2 linked regions of the Pelodiscus sinensis genome follow. The protein of the gene in region 2 binds, or shares a complex with, the protein of the main gene of each other region. Links are inferred from orthologs where the notes say so. Each region holds a gene or a part of one and is shown on either strand. Other genes may lie near its edges.

Region 1 (7,640 bases), on a different chromosome or scaffold from region 2:
GAAAATGGCGATCGGGGCTTTTTTTGCGGAAAAGCGTGTCTAGATTGGCACGGACGCTTTTCCGCAAAAAGTGCTTTTACGGAAAAGCGGCCATGCCAATCTAGACACTCTGTTCCGAAAATGCTTTTAACGGAAAACTTTTCCGTTAAAAGCATTTCCGGAAAATCATGCCAATCTAGACGCAGCCAGTGTGTTTTATGGTGCTTTCCTAAATTCTGCCTCTGGTAGCAACATAAGAGGTACCACTAGGCAGCTAAAACTTACATGTGCCTCAAGGATTGTACTTGTATCCCTCATTGCCACCCTTTCATGTCCACTGCCCCGGTGCACAAGTTCTCCTCACCACAGCTGCCAAAGCCTTTTTGTGCACTGCACACCTCCCTAACTCCCCACTGAAACCATCCCGGGCTGCCCTCCTTCCCTGCTACAGTGGTCCTGGTCCCTGGGGTGATCCTTTTCTAAGAATGGAAAGCAAGGCTAGACTGAGTGTCACATGACTGGTTTGCACCAGTCTCTGTAATCATGCCTTATGACAAATCCCACCACAGAAACTGCTTAAGCGACGAGGAGTCCTGTGGCACCTTATAGACTAACTGAAGTGTAGGAGCATAAGCTTTCGTGGGCAAAGACCCACTTCGTCAGATGCATGTGTGGGTCTTTGCCCACGAAAGCTTATGCTCCTACACTTCAGTTAGTCTATAAGGTGCCACAGGACTCCTCGTCGCTTTTGCAGATTCAGACTAACACGGCTACCCCTCTGATACTAGAAACTGCTTAGTCACCAATACAATATTTTCGCTCGGCCAAGGAACTGTGTATGGCACAGCTTGTTCTAAGGTTTTTAGTCCCCTCTAATAGTATTGCCTCTTTCATTTAAAATTAGGTTCCACAAGAGAGTATAATCAATACACTATATGATAATATAATTTATCAGAATATAGGGCAGTAAAGGTGGATTGTGGAAAACAGAGCAGCTGTTGAGCCAGCAGGTCCAGCATATTTTTGTTTTTATAAATGATATGCAGAGGTGAACTGAATAGTTTTCAGGTCCAGCATAAATACATACATTCTGGAGGACCTAACAAGCTAATACATTTAAATGAAGATGATGAGTACTGGACATGAGAAAACGTATTAGTGTGTTAATACCAAATGCACAGGAGAAAGGAATGAATGGCAACTGGGGAGACAGGAAGAGGGATAGGAGGAGGAAATTAGTGGATTGGAACATTCACTAGAAAAGAGATGTCTTGTCGAATACAAAATGAACTTATACAATTTATGCCACACTGCATTATTTAAAGCCACAAGTCCACTACTTAAACCAAAAAATAGTTAAGAACAAATCTCTGTTCCATATACCAGCAACCATGCTTCTTTTTTTAAAAAAAATTGATTGGTTTTATTTTTAGAAATCAGAGAATGTAAGAAACAACCGTCCCATCCTGCAGAAACAGTGATGAATCAACATAAAGACCAAAGCTGAAGCAAGACTGCACCCTTCCGGTTTTGTGTCAGGATTTTGTTAACGGTATAAAAACCCATGCATCCATCCCTCAGTTTCTCTCTAGCTACAGATGCATCCTTTAAGTTTTCAGAATATTGGGGCAGGAGGGTTACTGTGGAACTCAGTATATTTGGAAAGCAAAGGTTACTGTGATAGGCAACTTCTTTTGGCTTCATAACTCTGTTTTCTCAGAGTCTGAGCCACTGTCAAAACCCCACCCCTATTCTCTTCTCTATATTAGCTTTCCTCCACTATCTGTGCCAGCCAGCCAGTTCCTCCAGCCTACATTCCTTAACCATCACCATTTTGTATGGATCAAAGCTAAAAAAAAAAAAAAAAGGCAAGGACTCTGCAGATACCAGTTATCGAATGTTAGAAACCCAGGACATGAAGAGTTGAGCACAACATATACAGCAGGGGTGGGGAACCTTTTTTGGGTCAGAGACCACTGACCCACACACAAATCAGTCGGGGCCCGCACACAGGTAAGAAGCAAAAAAAAAAAAAAACCCCACCAGACCCTCACTGGTGTGGCCCCTGACTGAGATGGAGAAAGATGCTTCCCCACATTCTCCTGGTACACCAGAGCCTGGGGGGCCCAGCCTAGTAGATTTTGTGTGCTCCAGCCCTGCAATGGGGCTGCAGAGTGGCTGGAGCGCCCATGTGGGCTCCCCAGTGCTGGGGGCAGACCCTGAACCTCGGGATCTGGATCCAGGTAAGCCCAGGGCTGCATCTAGCCGCCAGGCCTTAAGTTCCCCACCTGGGGAGCAAAGAATGCCAAATCCCCTCCCCTAACAATACAGCAACTGCCAGAACTCTGCCAAGGACTTGCCCACACATTGAATTGTCCCCATTTAACTTGCAGTGTGATTTTAAACCAATTTCAAGACATTGGTGCAAACGTTCTTATTCCAGGCTTCTTTCTAGTTAAGCCAGTTAGGAACAGGATTGAAATAAACCAAAAGAAGTCACTCTTAAAACTAAAGCAGAACATCCACACAGGCATTGCACTAGTTGAATGTGCACAAATGCACATGTAGGAAATGGCTATGCTCACAGTCATGCCAATGGTAGGCCTGGAACACTTTGAAAGTCTGCAGTCCTGAGCTGGGGGGGGAAGTCTAGGTGCCCTTCTCTCTAGTCTATAGGATCACTGGAGTAAAGGACACTGAACTCCCTCTGGTTGTACTTGGCTTTATAAAGGGCATCTCTGCAGGTGGTGGCTGCAAGTTCCCAATTATTCACTCATACATAGTCAATCCCAAAGCTCCTTATTCTTTCATAACAAGAAAATAAAAGTTGGGGGGGGGGGGGAGAGAATTCAATTGCAAGAGAGAAAATTAAGGATCTAAGGGAAGGGGATAGCAGCCAACCTAGGGCGCATGATTAAACTTGTACTTACTCGCACATTTGTGTTTTTCTTTGCTGGCTGAATGCTTTCTCTTCTTTTTTCTCTTTGGTGGGATTTCCATCTCCCTGGAGGTTTCCCCTTGTGCCTCAAGGAACGAGTCCATAAGCAAACACTGCTGCTATGCTTTAACTTCCTGCTATACACTCTGTTTTACTAAGGCTCAAGGGTGGCTAAATGAATGGGACTTTAGCCCTTATAGGAGGAGCTATTTTAGAGCCTTTTAGGGGAGGGGTCCTTTGAGTTTTCTGCTTTAATAGGGCATAAGAGGTTCTGTTAAAAACACAAGCTAAGAACATTCAACTTACTAAATGTCCTTGCCAATCTAACGCTCATAGGAAAGCTGGTTCAGAAAAAGAGCCCCGTGTCCCTAATTCATTGAAATGGGAGTAATGACATCTGAGAGATGTAAACAAATGTGCAGAACAGTTTGCACCTGAAATAGTAGTTAGTAAAAGTGTTAACCTCTGTTGTGCTCGAGTTTTGCTGGGTCTCATTTCTGCCTGAGTTCTATACAGCACTAATTGTACTCAGTGCTTTGCAACTGTTCACTAATTAAACCTCACATCACCCTCATGAGATACTATTAGTCCCATTTTACAGATAGGGCAAACTGAAGGAGGGAGCTAAAGAAGCTTCCCTCAGGCCACAGTGAGGGATCAGCATGAAAGGATATGACTGAAATTTGGGATTGATTTCCAGGCTTGGGATCACACTTCTCATAATCTGTTACTGTTTCTTTGATTACATTTACTGTTCAGAAGCTATTTATTTTTGGTGCCTGCAGATCCAAGTGCACGTCAGAGAGCAGTCAGATTTATATCAGGTAGACTTGCTAATGGACTGAGGTGCAACTAACATTTAAGACCGAAGTACTGGACAATATCCTCCAGTTAACAAATGAGGAAAAATAGGTGACTTGAGGACACTGTGAGGAGGTGAGACCTCTGTACAGCTATCCAGAGAAGGGCCACAGAAAGAGAGAGAAACTTCTAGGCTACTAAGTCAAGTCCTTCATAAAGTTCCTGGCATGGCAGGAGGTATTTTCTATTTTCTAGGTATGGTCACTGATTATGATGGGTTAAAACATCCTTTTCCCTAGTATATGTCTGTACTAGGTGCTGCTTTAAAGGGATTGCTACTTCAGCAAGTCTTGCCCTACTTCGTGCAATGCTAAGGGCCTGTAAGGGTTCATCTGGAGGTGGCTCTCCTACTTGGAGTAGTATTTGAAAGAATGGCATTCCCTTGACTACGTTCATCCCAGCTACCCACCCAGCTACTACACTTACTCTCTTGCTAGCCAGTGGTTTCCACCGGAAAGGCTACAGGGGAATGCTGGCCCTTACAAACACTGAGGCGTGTAATTTTACTCATGAGTTTTATTGATTTTGATGAGATTACTCTCAGGAGTAGAGTCACACCTGGGCTTAAGTATTTGTAGGATTGAGGCACTGCAATCTAAGGAAGTTGGAAAGGGCTGTCCCCAAATCCCGTGGTATTCTCAGGTGAAAAATGAGGTTTTGCAGGCCATCTCTTGCATGTTTATATGATTCAGTTGCATTGTTGTGAATGTCTTTTACATCAGGGCATGCCTGTACCCATAGCTCGTATTTTTGTCTCCACTGGTGGTGCACGTTCACCAATGCCTCGGTGCATATAAAAAAATATTCTGCATGTGGATAGAAAAAATCCACACATGGATGGAAAAGACTGGAGAAGACATTGCTGTACACACCTCCTAGACTGGAGCCTCTAATGAAACTTGCATGCAGATCTGTGAAGACGGAGGTTGTGGCTCTTTTTATTAATAGGTTTAAGTCCCTGATAGTGAGTGAGGAATACTAGGTATATAAGAAAAATTGAAAGGAAATGTACAATTCATTCCCTATAAATCCATGGTGGAATAGTATAAAGGACTGACCATGAGTTGTACTAGTCAAGCTGTGTGTATCCTGTTTCCTTGGGATTAGTGAAGCTGTCAGGTACTGTGCGTGTCCAATGGGGATACGTCTACACTGCACCTTAGGTCAAAATAACATACGCAATTTGTGTAGCTCAAATTGTGTATCTTACTTCCATCTTATTTTGAAATAGCTTATTTCGTCATTTGACACTATCCACACAGCACCAAATTTTCAAATAACCCGCTGTCCTGAAACATCCCTTACTCCTCGCGGGATGAGGGTTACAGGGACGACGGAATAGTGAGCCCATTACATTTTGAAGTAACGGGCTTGCTGTGAAGACACGGGATAGCTATTTCGGGATGCCTCCGGTATCCTGAAACAGTGCTGCAGTGTAGACAGAGCCTAGCTGTCTGGATGCCACAGGAGGACTGTTAGAGAAGCCCGGGAACCACAGGGCATCAAATATTAAGCCGCAGGCAAAGCAAAGGCAGGCAGAATGCGGAGGTGTTTGTTTGATCCGGGGCTTCTGGGAGCTAACACCCAGTTTAGCACCAGCTAGGCCTCTGTCTTGCTGAGGCAGGAGTAACACAGTGATTGACAGTCCTGGATACGCCAAAGTAACCACTAGGACAATACAATTTATAAGTACAGGAAATCAAGCACCAACTGATAGGAATAAACAATGTTTTATTTATAGAAAGGCAGGACTGAAGGAGAGAGAGAGAGAGAGAAATGGCAGGAAATGGGGACAAAAGCAGGAGAATCAGGGAAAAAATGAGTAATGTCCAACAATGCAGCAATAATTAACCATTTCCTCCCTGTGTGACTCAAAATCCCTCAACTCAGCAATGGCAAGAATGGTCCCCTGAGGGTCCCAAAGGCCATCACTGAAGACGGGAGGTGGAGGGCAACGAGTTGGCTGGTGCTGTTACTCCTGCCTTGCGCGGAGATAAGGTTGGGGCCCAGGGATGACAGGACGGACGCTGACCCAGTGAGTTCCTGGGTTCGATGACTGGAAGCAGTGTTGGAGAAATCAGGCGTGAGAGGATCACGTCCCGGATGAAGAACAAGTTTGTTTTTACTGTTTACAGCCGTCCAAAGCTGCTGGAGGGGTCCTGGCATCAGTTTCCCAACAGAAAAGAGGCTGCTCGCCTCAGTTACAATTGCTGCGGTGCCGCCTGACTCCTCCAAACGGCAGTCAGCCTCCCCAAGAGCCTCTGTTACCCAGGGGCTTTTCCCTGATAGTAACCACTAACTAGCAGCTCCATTTCCCCACCCTGCAGAGTCTCCTGGCTAACTGTTCAAAAATCTTTCATTTTGGGCAGGCAGGGCCACAGCCTCTGGAAGGGGATACCCCCTCACTCTGAGTGGTATGTCCAGTTGGGGCCTTTCCATGTACAAGTGGAAGGACTTTCTGCAAAGTCCGTCCCATACTCCAGGGGTCAAGTGATGTCTGTTACCCCATGGGATTGGGACCGAGCTGTCCCCTGTCTCCCAAGCAAGTCTACATAGCACATGCAGCTTTGTTTCCAATGTCATTTAGTATCATTTCCCAGACCAAAACTTTATTACAGATTAAACAATATTAAAACAGAATGAAAGTGACACTTTAATAGTTGTGAACATATAAACACGATAGTTACCAACACATGGCTCCATCCAGATGGGAGGGCAATTATATGCAAGGCTCCAGAATCGACTTTGACTCTGACCCATATCAGCATGCAGCTTAACGTGAAAACCCCTTTACACAATAATTCCAATTTCCAACACTGGATCAATCCCAGGGCCAAAGTCCCGATGGTGTAAAGAGGGGCTAACCTACTGCCCTCCGTGGAGTTGTCTTCACTTTGGCTGAATTTCGTCCATGGGGCAAAATTCAGTGGTGACCTCAATGGAGGTGTAAGTTACCCATTGATAAAAGAGTCACATTGGTGGGAATCAGCATAATTTACAAATCGAGGGAGCAACAGGGAAGATGGAGCATGACAAGCAATTAACTAAGATGCAATCAGATCCCTTGCCCTGGTTGTTACTGCATTGCGCCAAAGGCATGTAGAGGCTAAGCTCCAGCTCCTCAAAGATAGGTAGGTGTCTAACTGCCTTCCAGGATCTGGGCCTCAGTGTGGGGGGCACGAGGTATGGGGCAGAAAACACAGGAGATCTTAAAATATATTTATCTGATAAGTTTTACCCGGTAAAAAAAACATTTGGAAAACCATTGTCTTTTCTAAATAAAACTATTCATTTCTACATCACTTTGGGGTAATGCAGGTCAGTTAAAATGTTTGAGGGAAGAGTCAAACAGCACCACAACCATGTACAGTTGACAAAACTCATCTGAGGAAGTGGGTCTGGCCCATGAAAGCTCATCATCTAATAAACCATCTTGTTAGTCTTTAAAGTGCTACATAGTCCTGTATTTTGCTTAAGAAAGCCTGAGTTCAAAAGAACAGTAAGGTTACAGACTCAAGCACTGGAAAAATTAGGAAATGCCAGAATGGAGGTTAATTCAGTTCTTTGTGGAGCTGCGTTATGACTGTCTTTATATACTCACTATTTTCCCCACGGGACACTTGTGTCATTCAGTGCACAGCAGGGAACTCCACTCAGGGTTGTGTAGAGAATGAAGCTGTTGGTCTGTAGGAAAATTATGTACCTACATACGTGTGTGTGTGTGAGAGAGAGAGAGAGAGGGAGGAATGCATCTGCCATGCGTGTGTGTGTGTGCGTGAGAGAGGGGGCTATTGGAAAGTCTTCACTCTATACATGTGTATGGATGTGTGCATGTTTCCAAAGTACCTGAACTGCAGCCAGC
Region 2 (7,232 bases):
GCAATAAAATTGTAATATCACCCATGCTGCTGCTTAAAAAAGTTTGGTCTGTAAAGGAACTGAGGCAAATGACTTCAGGCTTGTGTTAGTTCCTTTTAAAATGCAGCTAGCCCTGATTTGCAATAACCTAGAGGTGGCACATGGTAATTCTTCTCTCCACTAGGCAGAGGCAGGGTGTACTGAGAATCCAGTTCTGCTCTTTGACCAGTAATCCAGGGCCTGACACCAGCCATCAACCCAAGAGCAGAAAGAAGGGCCCTGGAATGAGAGTTACATGGGAGGGAGGAGCAAATGGACTCTATCATATCAGGGGACCATAGTGCTCCAGGAGGGAGCTACATAGATGTCCTTTGTGAAACTATTTCTCCATCTATGTCTCATCTGTTGACTATAAACATTTCAGGACCCAGCCTCCTCCAAAGATACAAGCATTGCCTTTCCTTATCCTTCCCATCGCCTCTGCTTTCCCCAATCCCCACACAGCCCAACTCCATAAGCAGAAAGCCTTTTGGGACTGATCAGCTTTAGTGGGGGGTGGGAATAAAAAGAACCCATGAGCCTTCAACTATAATCAGATTTATTAAAAATAAAGCAATAGAATCGTGCCTGAAATCACAGAATCACCATTTTATTTCAACAAAAATAAGTCAGAACTGGATTCAAGTTAACAGCTTTCTAGATGGAGATTAGGGACCCAAATAACTTCATTTTTCACACTGAGACAAGTTCAGTAAGATTGACAGCCATAGCACTGTGGTATTTTAGAGGTAGCTCCAGAACAAAGAAATGTGTTTGCACTTAATACTTCTTACATGAATGGAGTATGATGTAATTTCTGGACACCAGACAAAGGCTGTACCAGCACAAATAAGAGACATGCAGCCACGCGGAAGTATTACATGACTTGAACTCAATCACAAGGACAATAACCAGCTTCCACACTTCCAGCTAGGCTGCTGCTCTCTCGAAGTCAAATATGCTTAAATGAAGTGTTTAGATCCATTCTTTTATGTGCAGTCTGCCTTTTGCATCTTGTTTGTTAACCAAGAAAAGCAGCCAGTCCTTTTTGCATTTCCATGTACCCAGCCTTTGCGGCTCTTCTGCATTCATATACTATCCAACTTCTTTAAGATGTATGGAGCTGAAAAAGAACATACAACCAAGATATAGATGTTCAGTTACACGGGATTATGGTTTGCTCTGCCTATCACACAAGGAAAACTAAACTTGCTGTTTGTGAACAAATGGATGAACTCTCACTGAGTAAGTCATGAACCTGAACACATTAGCAAGAACACTGAAGCACGATCTTGAAAGGTGACCTGCAGAGAAGGGAAAAAAGGTGCCCACGCACCCGCACTTGGCATCTTGCGGTGTATGAAGGAGGCTTGGAAGCGAGGAGGACATTGCTTGCGTTTTACGCTATACATTGAGATCTGTCTAGTGCCAGGGAAGTGAGGCTTAGATCTTGTGTACAGCACAAAGGGTCTGAATGGGGGGCGCGGCTCGCGGCGGGGGGGGGGGGGCGCTCCCACGTGGGGGGAGGGGAGCGCGGCTCGCGGCGGGGGGGGGGCGCTCCCACGTGGGGGGGAGGAGGGCGCGGCTCGCGGGGGGGCTCCCACGTGGGGGGAGGGGGGCTCCCACGTGGGGGGGAGGGGGGCGCGGCTCGCGGGGGGGCTCCCACGTGGGGGGAGGGGGGCTCCCACGTGGGGGGAGGGGGGCGCGGCTCGCGGGGGGGCTCCCACGTGGGGGGAGGGGGGCTCCCACGTGGGGGGAGGGGGGCGCGGCTCGCGGGGGGGCTCCCACGTGGGGGGAGGGGGGCGCGGCTCGCGGGGGGGCTCCCACGTGGGGGGAGGGGGGCGCGGCTCGCGGCGGGGGGGGCGCTCCCACGTGGGGGTGGGGGGCGCGGCTCGCGGCGGGGGGGCGCTCCCACGTGGGGGGGAGGGGGGCGCGGCTCGCGGCGGGGGGGGGCGCTCCCACGTGACTCACTGACGCGCAGCAGCGCCACGTAGAGGAGGAAGGTGCGGACCGAGCTGAGAACATCCTGCCGCATCTTCCGCTTCAGCTCCTCCGGGTCCATCTTGGGCCCCAGCCCCTCGATGCGGAACATGGCGGCGCCGGGCTGCTCGGGCCGCGGCCGGGTCGCTCTGCGGGGCGGCGCGCGCTGTGGCCCCGCCCACTGCTACGGCTCCTCGGCCGGGACATGCGGCCTCAGGCCCCGCCCCTCCCCGCGGGGCTGCGCAGGGCACTGGGTCACGTGATAACGGAGCGGCGTTGCGCATGCGCGTTAGCCGCCGTGACGCCGCTGCCCATAGCTGCGCGGGGCCGGGCTCAGAGCGTAGAGTCGGCAGCGCTGGCGCCACCTGGCGGGGGGGAGGTTGCAGGCACGAACCGTACCCCTTGCCCCGCCCTTTCCCCGAGGCCCCGCCCCCTCCCCTCGTCTGCCCCCATTTTCGGCAGGGCGGGAGGCAGGCGGGGGGCCAGGGGGCAGGGCTGCGGGCCGGGATGCATGCATGGTGGCAGCGAGCGGGGAGGCCCCCAGCAGCGGTGCCAGCGGGAGGCGTCGAGATGCTCCACCTGGCCCCGACGGTGCCGCCTGCAGCGTGGCCGACTCGCCGCGCCAGGGGTTGGCAGCTGCACTGCAGCGCCAAGGCCCCGTGTTGCCAGCCTGCGCTACCCAGCTGTGCACCTAGCCAGGAGAATGGGGACGCAACCTCAAACGGGCTCTTTTGGGTTACTGGTAGGGCCAAGGCCCGAAGGGACCACTGCGATCGCCTAGGCTGACCTGCAGAGCACAGCCCCGCACTAATTCCCCGAGCAGAGCTCTAGAAGAATAGCCAACCCTGACTTAATAATTGTCTGGGATGGAGACTTGCACCAGAGCCAAAATGTCGGTGAATTGTCAGTAGGGCAGCAAACGAGAGGCTGGTGTGTTGCCGCTTGGCGCAGTGAGCCGCAAGTCCAGTGACTTCGTTCAGACCACGACGTGTTGTGCCGAGCGCAGTCATGAATGGAACCGCCACGCTTGTCCTTGGAGGTGCGGGGTTCCTTTGAGCATGGGAGGAGTGTTCTCCCGCAGGTGACAGGGCATCTTTGTCTTCCATCCCTTTTCAGTGTGGGTCCTACCTGGCGTGGGGCCATGAGCTCAGGTAGGCTGGGTGCCCTGTTTCTCTGGGGGCAGCAAATCTGTGAATGAGGCAGGTGTCCAGTGGGCCGGAGGATGGATGCTCCAGGAGACGCCTGAGGGCTGGAGCAGGCCTCTTGTTAGCCTGCAGCGTAGCAACAGGGCCTGCAAGGCCTCGAGAGCAGGGCTTGTGTTGCTCATGGCCAGTGGAGATGGGGAGCTGGCTCCCGGCAGGTCCAGACAAGGCTCCCCATGCTAAGGGCAGGCGGCAGTGGCATCCGTTACAAACCTGGGTCCCCGCCCCCAGGAATCATGACAATATAAACTAGAAGATGAATAAAAGAGGCAGAACAGTACCAGAGGGAAAACAGGCGCACGACACTGGCCAGCTCCGTTACCAAGTGGGCTCCAACATATTACTTGGTGAGCCTTGTCACCACTCCTCTAGCTGTCAGAATGTGGGTCCCAACACCCGCTCCAGGGTCTCCAGCCAGCAGGGCCTGGACTGTATGGCCGGGCTGTGCAGCGGGGCAGAGGACCTGGCTGTTACCTCCGCAAGGCAGCCTGTCTTTGAGGGGTGCACTGGCAGGATCCATCAGGCGTTTGTCATGTGTGGGGTCTGGCCTAACAGCAGCCGTGCTGTCGTACTAAATCCAATATCCATCTTCATCCTAAAGAGGAAATCAATATGGGTGGTGGCTCCTTTGTTCCAATTAGCTCTGTGTTCCATCCCGCGGAGGACCACAGTCAGCTCTGGAGTGGATTCAAGGCAGTAATTCACCGCGGGGGCTCAAGCAGCATTCTCATTGCTTATGATATCAGCAATTTCCACAGAGCCCAGAGAGCAAATGCAGCTGCAGGTTCACACCGGTGCAATTAGTTGTTATCTATTATTCATTCTCACTCCTCCGCCTGGCAGGGCCTGGGATGCTGCAGAGGCAGAACGCTGACCCCCAGGGAGTTCGGGGAACATATCACTTCTCCAGCGGATGCATCAGATCATACTCAGAGGGGGCTGCTTCTTCGGCTTCATTGGAAGCATGGTCAGCGTGGCATGGAGTTGTCTGGGGAGCGGGCATACAGCCTGCCAATGGGGTCTCAGTGGGATTTCAGCATTTCACTTTTAACCTCCTTATGCTTTTTTACGGCCTAGTGGTCAGAGCACTAGATTGGCCTCAGCTGGAGTACTGTGTCCAGTTCTGGGCGCCACATTTCAAGAAAGATGTGGAGAAATTGGAAAGGGTACAGAGAAGAGCGACAAGAATGATTAAAGGTTTAGAGAACATGACCTATGAAGCCAGGCTTCATGAACTGGGCTTGTTTAGTTTGGAAAAAAGAAGATTAAGGGGGGACATGATAGCGGTTTTCAAATATCTAAAAGGGTGTCACAAGGAGGAAGGAGAAAATTTGTTCCTCTTGGTTTCTGAGGACAGGACAAGGAGTAATGGGCTTAAAGTGCAGCAGGGGAGGTTTAGATTGGACATTAGGAAAAAATTCCTAACTGTCAGGGTGGTCAAATATTGGAATAAATTGCCAAGGGAGGTGGTGGAATCTCCCTCTCTGGAGATATTTAAGAACAGGTTAGATAGACATCTGTCAGGGATGGTGTAGACGGAGCTTGATCCTGCCTTGAGGGCGGGGGGCTGGACTCGATGACCTCTCGAGGTCCCTTCCAGTCCTATTATTCTATGATTCTATGATTCTATGATTGGCACACAGGAGGCCTGGGGTCTCTTCCCAGCTCTGCCACTAACCTGATGGGCAACCCTGGACAAAGCACTTTGCCTGTCCCACCCTCAGTTTCCCCGTCTGGAAAGTAGGGATAATGATACCTCCTCTTTGAAATGCTTTGAGGTCTACTGATGAAAAGCGATGCATAGCAGCTAGTGGTACTGCTATTTGATTCCCTTTGTAGCCCAGTCCTTTAGTGGTTATAGATGATTGATTTCCAGTTAGTACTAATATAAAGAGCTGGGAGACTGTTGGATTTTAGTTCAAGAATTGGGCACACCAAAACCGAGTGTCGTCCAGTTCAGTAGCTGGGTGTCGACTCCAATGTGCACAAGAAGACACACTGAGGGCCCAGCAAAGTTTTAACAACTTTTATTAACACAATTAGAAAAGACACAAAAGCACCAAGTCACAGAAGAAGAGCAAAAATGCCAAGTTAAAATGATGTCTGGTACCATTCCTCACCCAGACGCTCAGCCCCTTCCTTCGAGAATAAGTGGCAGTACACCAAGAACCTGCTCCGCCCCTGCATGCCAATGAGTCCAACGGTCTAGACCCAAATCACTGCACAATGGCCCCCTGCACATGGCAATCTGGCCTAGCACAGGCTCTAGGCTGTCATGAATATTCACTCAAATGTCCCTTGTCTGTAGCCAACTCCCTCATCCTAAAAGCGCTGGGCTGCCTTTTACCCCAGGTTAGCAGAGGAAGGGGTTTCACTCATTACCACATACGTACATTTCATAGTTAAACATCTGTCAGCAATCTACCCTGAAATGTCCACGCCTGGAATCCATTCGGTGTCCCTGGGATCACTGTGGACAAAGTGCCCCCGTAAGCATGCTCTTCCCAGAGGCAAGGGAACAGCTGAGCCATGTATCTGTGCCAGAGCTCACACACCTCAAAGCCTTATGCTACAGTAGGCTAACTGCACAAGCAAATGTCTTGCAGAGGATGGGCCCGTAGGTTCCTTGCAACACGGCCAAGTGGAATCCAGTTCTAGGGAGCTCTCTTGGCTCTCCCTCTTAGGTAAGATTGGTGAAAGACGGTTACGGTCGTGCTGAAAAGCTGCAATTCAAGGCTGCGGATTTTCCCCACCTCCAATGAATAAAGAAGGATCTTACATTGCCTGCCCATCTCTGATCCCTGAACGGTTCCTGTGTAAGCTGGGCGGAGGGAGGAGAGATTCCTGGGATTTTTTTCTTTTGTGTCTAATTTAATCTAAAATGTTGTTGTAATTGAGTTTGTTGCTAGAGGAAATAGGCTCTCATGTCACAAAGTGCTCTGTTCCCAGGGCCGTCCCCAAAGTGCACTTTGTGGCCATTTCTTTGCTAGACAAGCAGCACTACTGATACCACGGTGCAAATGCTGAAGTATGGATCAGTTTTAGCACTAATGAAGGTGCTGCTCCCAATGACTTCAATAGGAGTTGCGTCTGCTTCAGTGCTGAATTGAAATCATGCCGTTTATAGCCTCTGTGGGTCCTAATCCATTTTTAAACCAATACCCACAGCCACATATATTAATTTATAGAACATGTTGTTGTAGAAAGCGCCTGAAATAAACAACAGGCTACGTCCTTTGTAGTGGCTGCAGTAAGATTTAGGGCAGCATCTGACTGGAAATACTGACACCAGCATATCTCAAAGCTCAATTTGCAACCGGGAAAACTAATGCCGAGAAGTGACTTGACCAAGGACATCCAGCAGGTCAGTGGCAGAGCTGTGCCTGGAACTCAGGTGTCTTGAGTTAGATTCTAGGGTCATGTCCAGTGGACCACTGTGAAGACTGTGGCGAGTGCTTCCATCTCAGGGATGTCCACGGGCTCTCTGGTTGCAAGACTTGGTAGCCAGAGTCCTTGCTGCGAATGAGTAAGACAAGCACAGGCTACCCCCTGATTCTCCTGGTCTGTCCCTGGTGCCTCCTTGCAGTGTAGCACGGCCACTACAAAAGACAGCGACTTGTGGTGCCGGAGCACAGCCAGGGAGGGCATGCACGTGTGAGCTGGAGCCCTGGCACGTTTCTGGATAAGCAAGACCTTTCTCCTCTCCGGGAGGAGCCCGTGCTCCCATTGGAATGCAAGCCCCCTCCCACAGCTCGGCAGCCCACGGGCAAGAGCACAGGGACCGCTCGGTGGGGGCTGGCCATCTGACCCCTTTGGGCTTGGATTGCGGTGTTCAGCAGAGACAGCCGTGCGGGGGCGAGGTCGAAGTGCACGACGGGCAGGGCCCCTGGAGCTTTTCCGCAGGGAGACTCATCACTCTGTGCCGGGGCAAGTCCTTGTGCCTTTTCACAGCCGCCCAGCCACAGCAGATGGGAAAGTAGCCGCTTCGTGGGGCTGCGACCCCTGGGGATTCGGCACGGCCGATCCCTAGAG

Evidence for each region. The genes of interacting proteins can lie anywhere in the genome.
Region 1: the proteins of TOMM5 (region 2) and VDAC2 are in contact, whole or in part, in a cryo-EM structure (PDB 9EII), measured with the Homo sapiens proteins. The link is inferred for Pelodiscus sinensis from reciprocal best matches to the Homo sapiens genes TOMM5 and VDAC2. Residues at the interface, in NP_001001790.1 of Homo sapiens: Ile25, Arg29, Leu32, Ile33, Ala36, Arg39, Val40, Phe43, Ile44, Lys47; in NP_001171752.1 of Homo sapiens: Val38, Thr60, Gly63, Asp239, Tyr258, Gln260, Thr261, Leu262, Leu268, Leu270, Val286, Leu288.

The regions. Positions count from the first base shown.
Region 1 is NC_134718.1:8,199,744-8,207,383, reverse strand, and holds the start of VDAC2 (non-selective voltage-gated ion channel VDAC2), read right to left. Parts: upstream 3,037-7,640; 5' UTR 3,022-3,036; coding exon 2,910-3,021; intron 1,532-2,909; exon of another isoform or gene 750-1,531; intron 1-749. UniProt on the Homo sapiens protein: Non-selective voltage-gated ion channel that mediates the transport of anions and cations through the mitochondrion outer membrane and plasma membrane.
Region 2 is NC_134716.1:617,007-624,238, forward strand, and holds TOMM5 (mitochondrial import receptor subunit TOM5 homolog), read right to left. Parts: upstream 2,191-7,232; 5' UTR 2,111-2,190; coding exon 1,990-2,110; intron 1,142-1,989; coding exon 1,107-1,141; 3' UTR 561-1,106; downstream 1-560.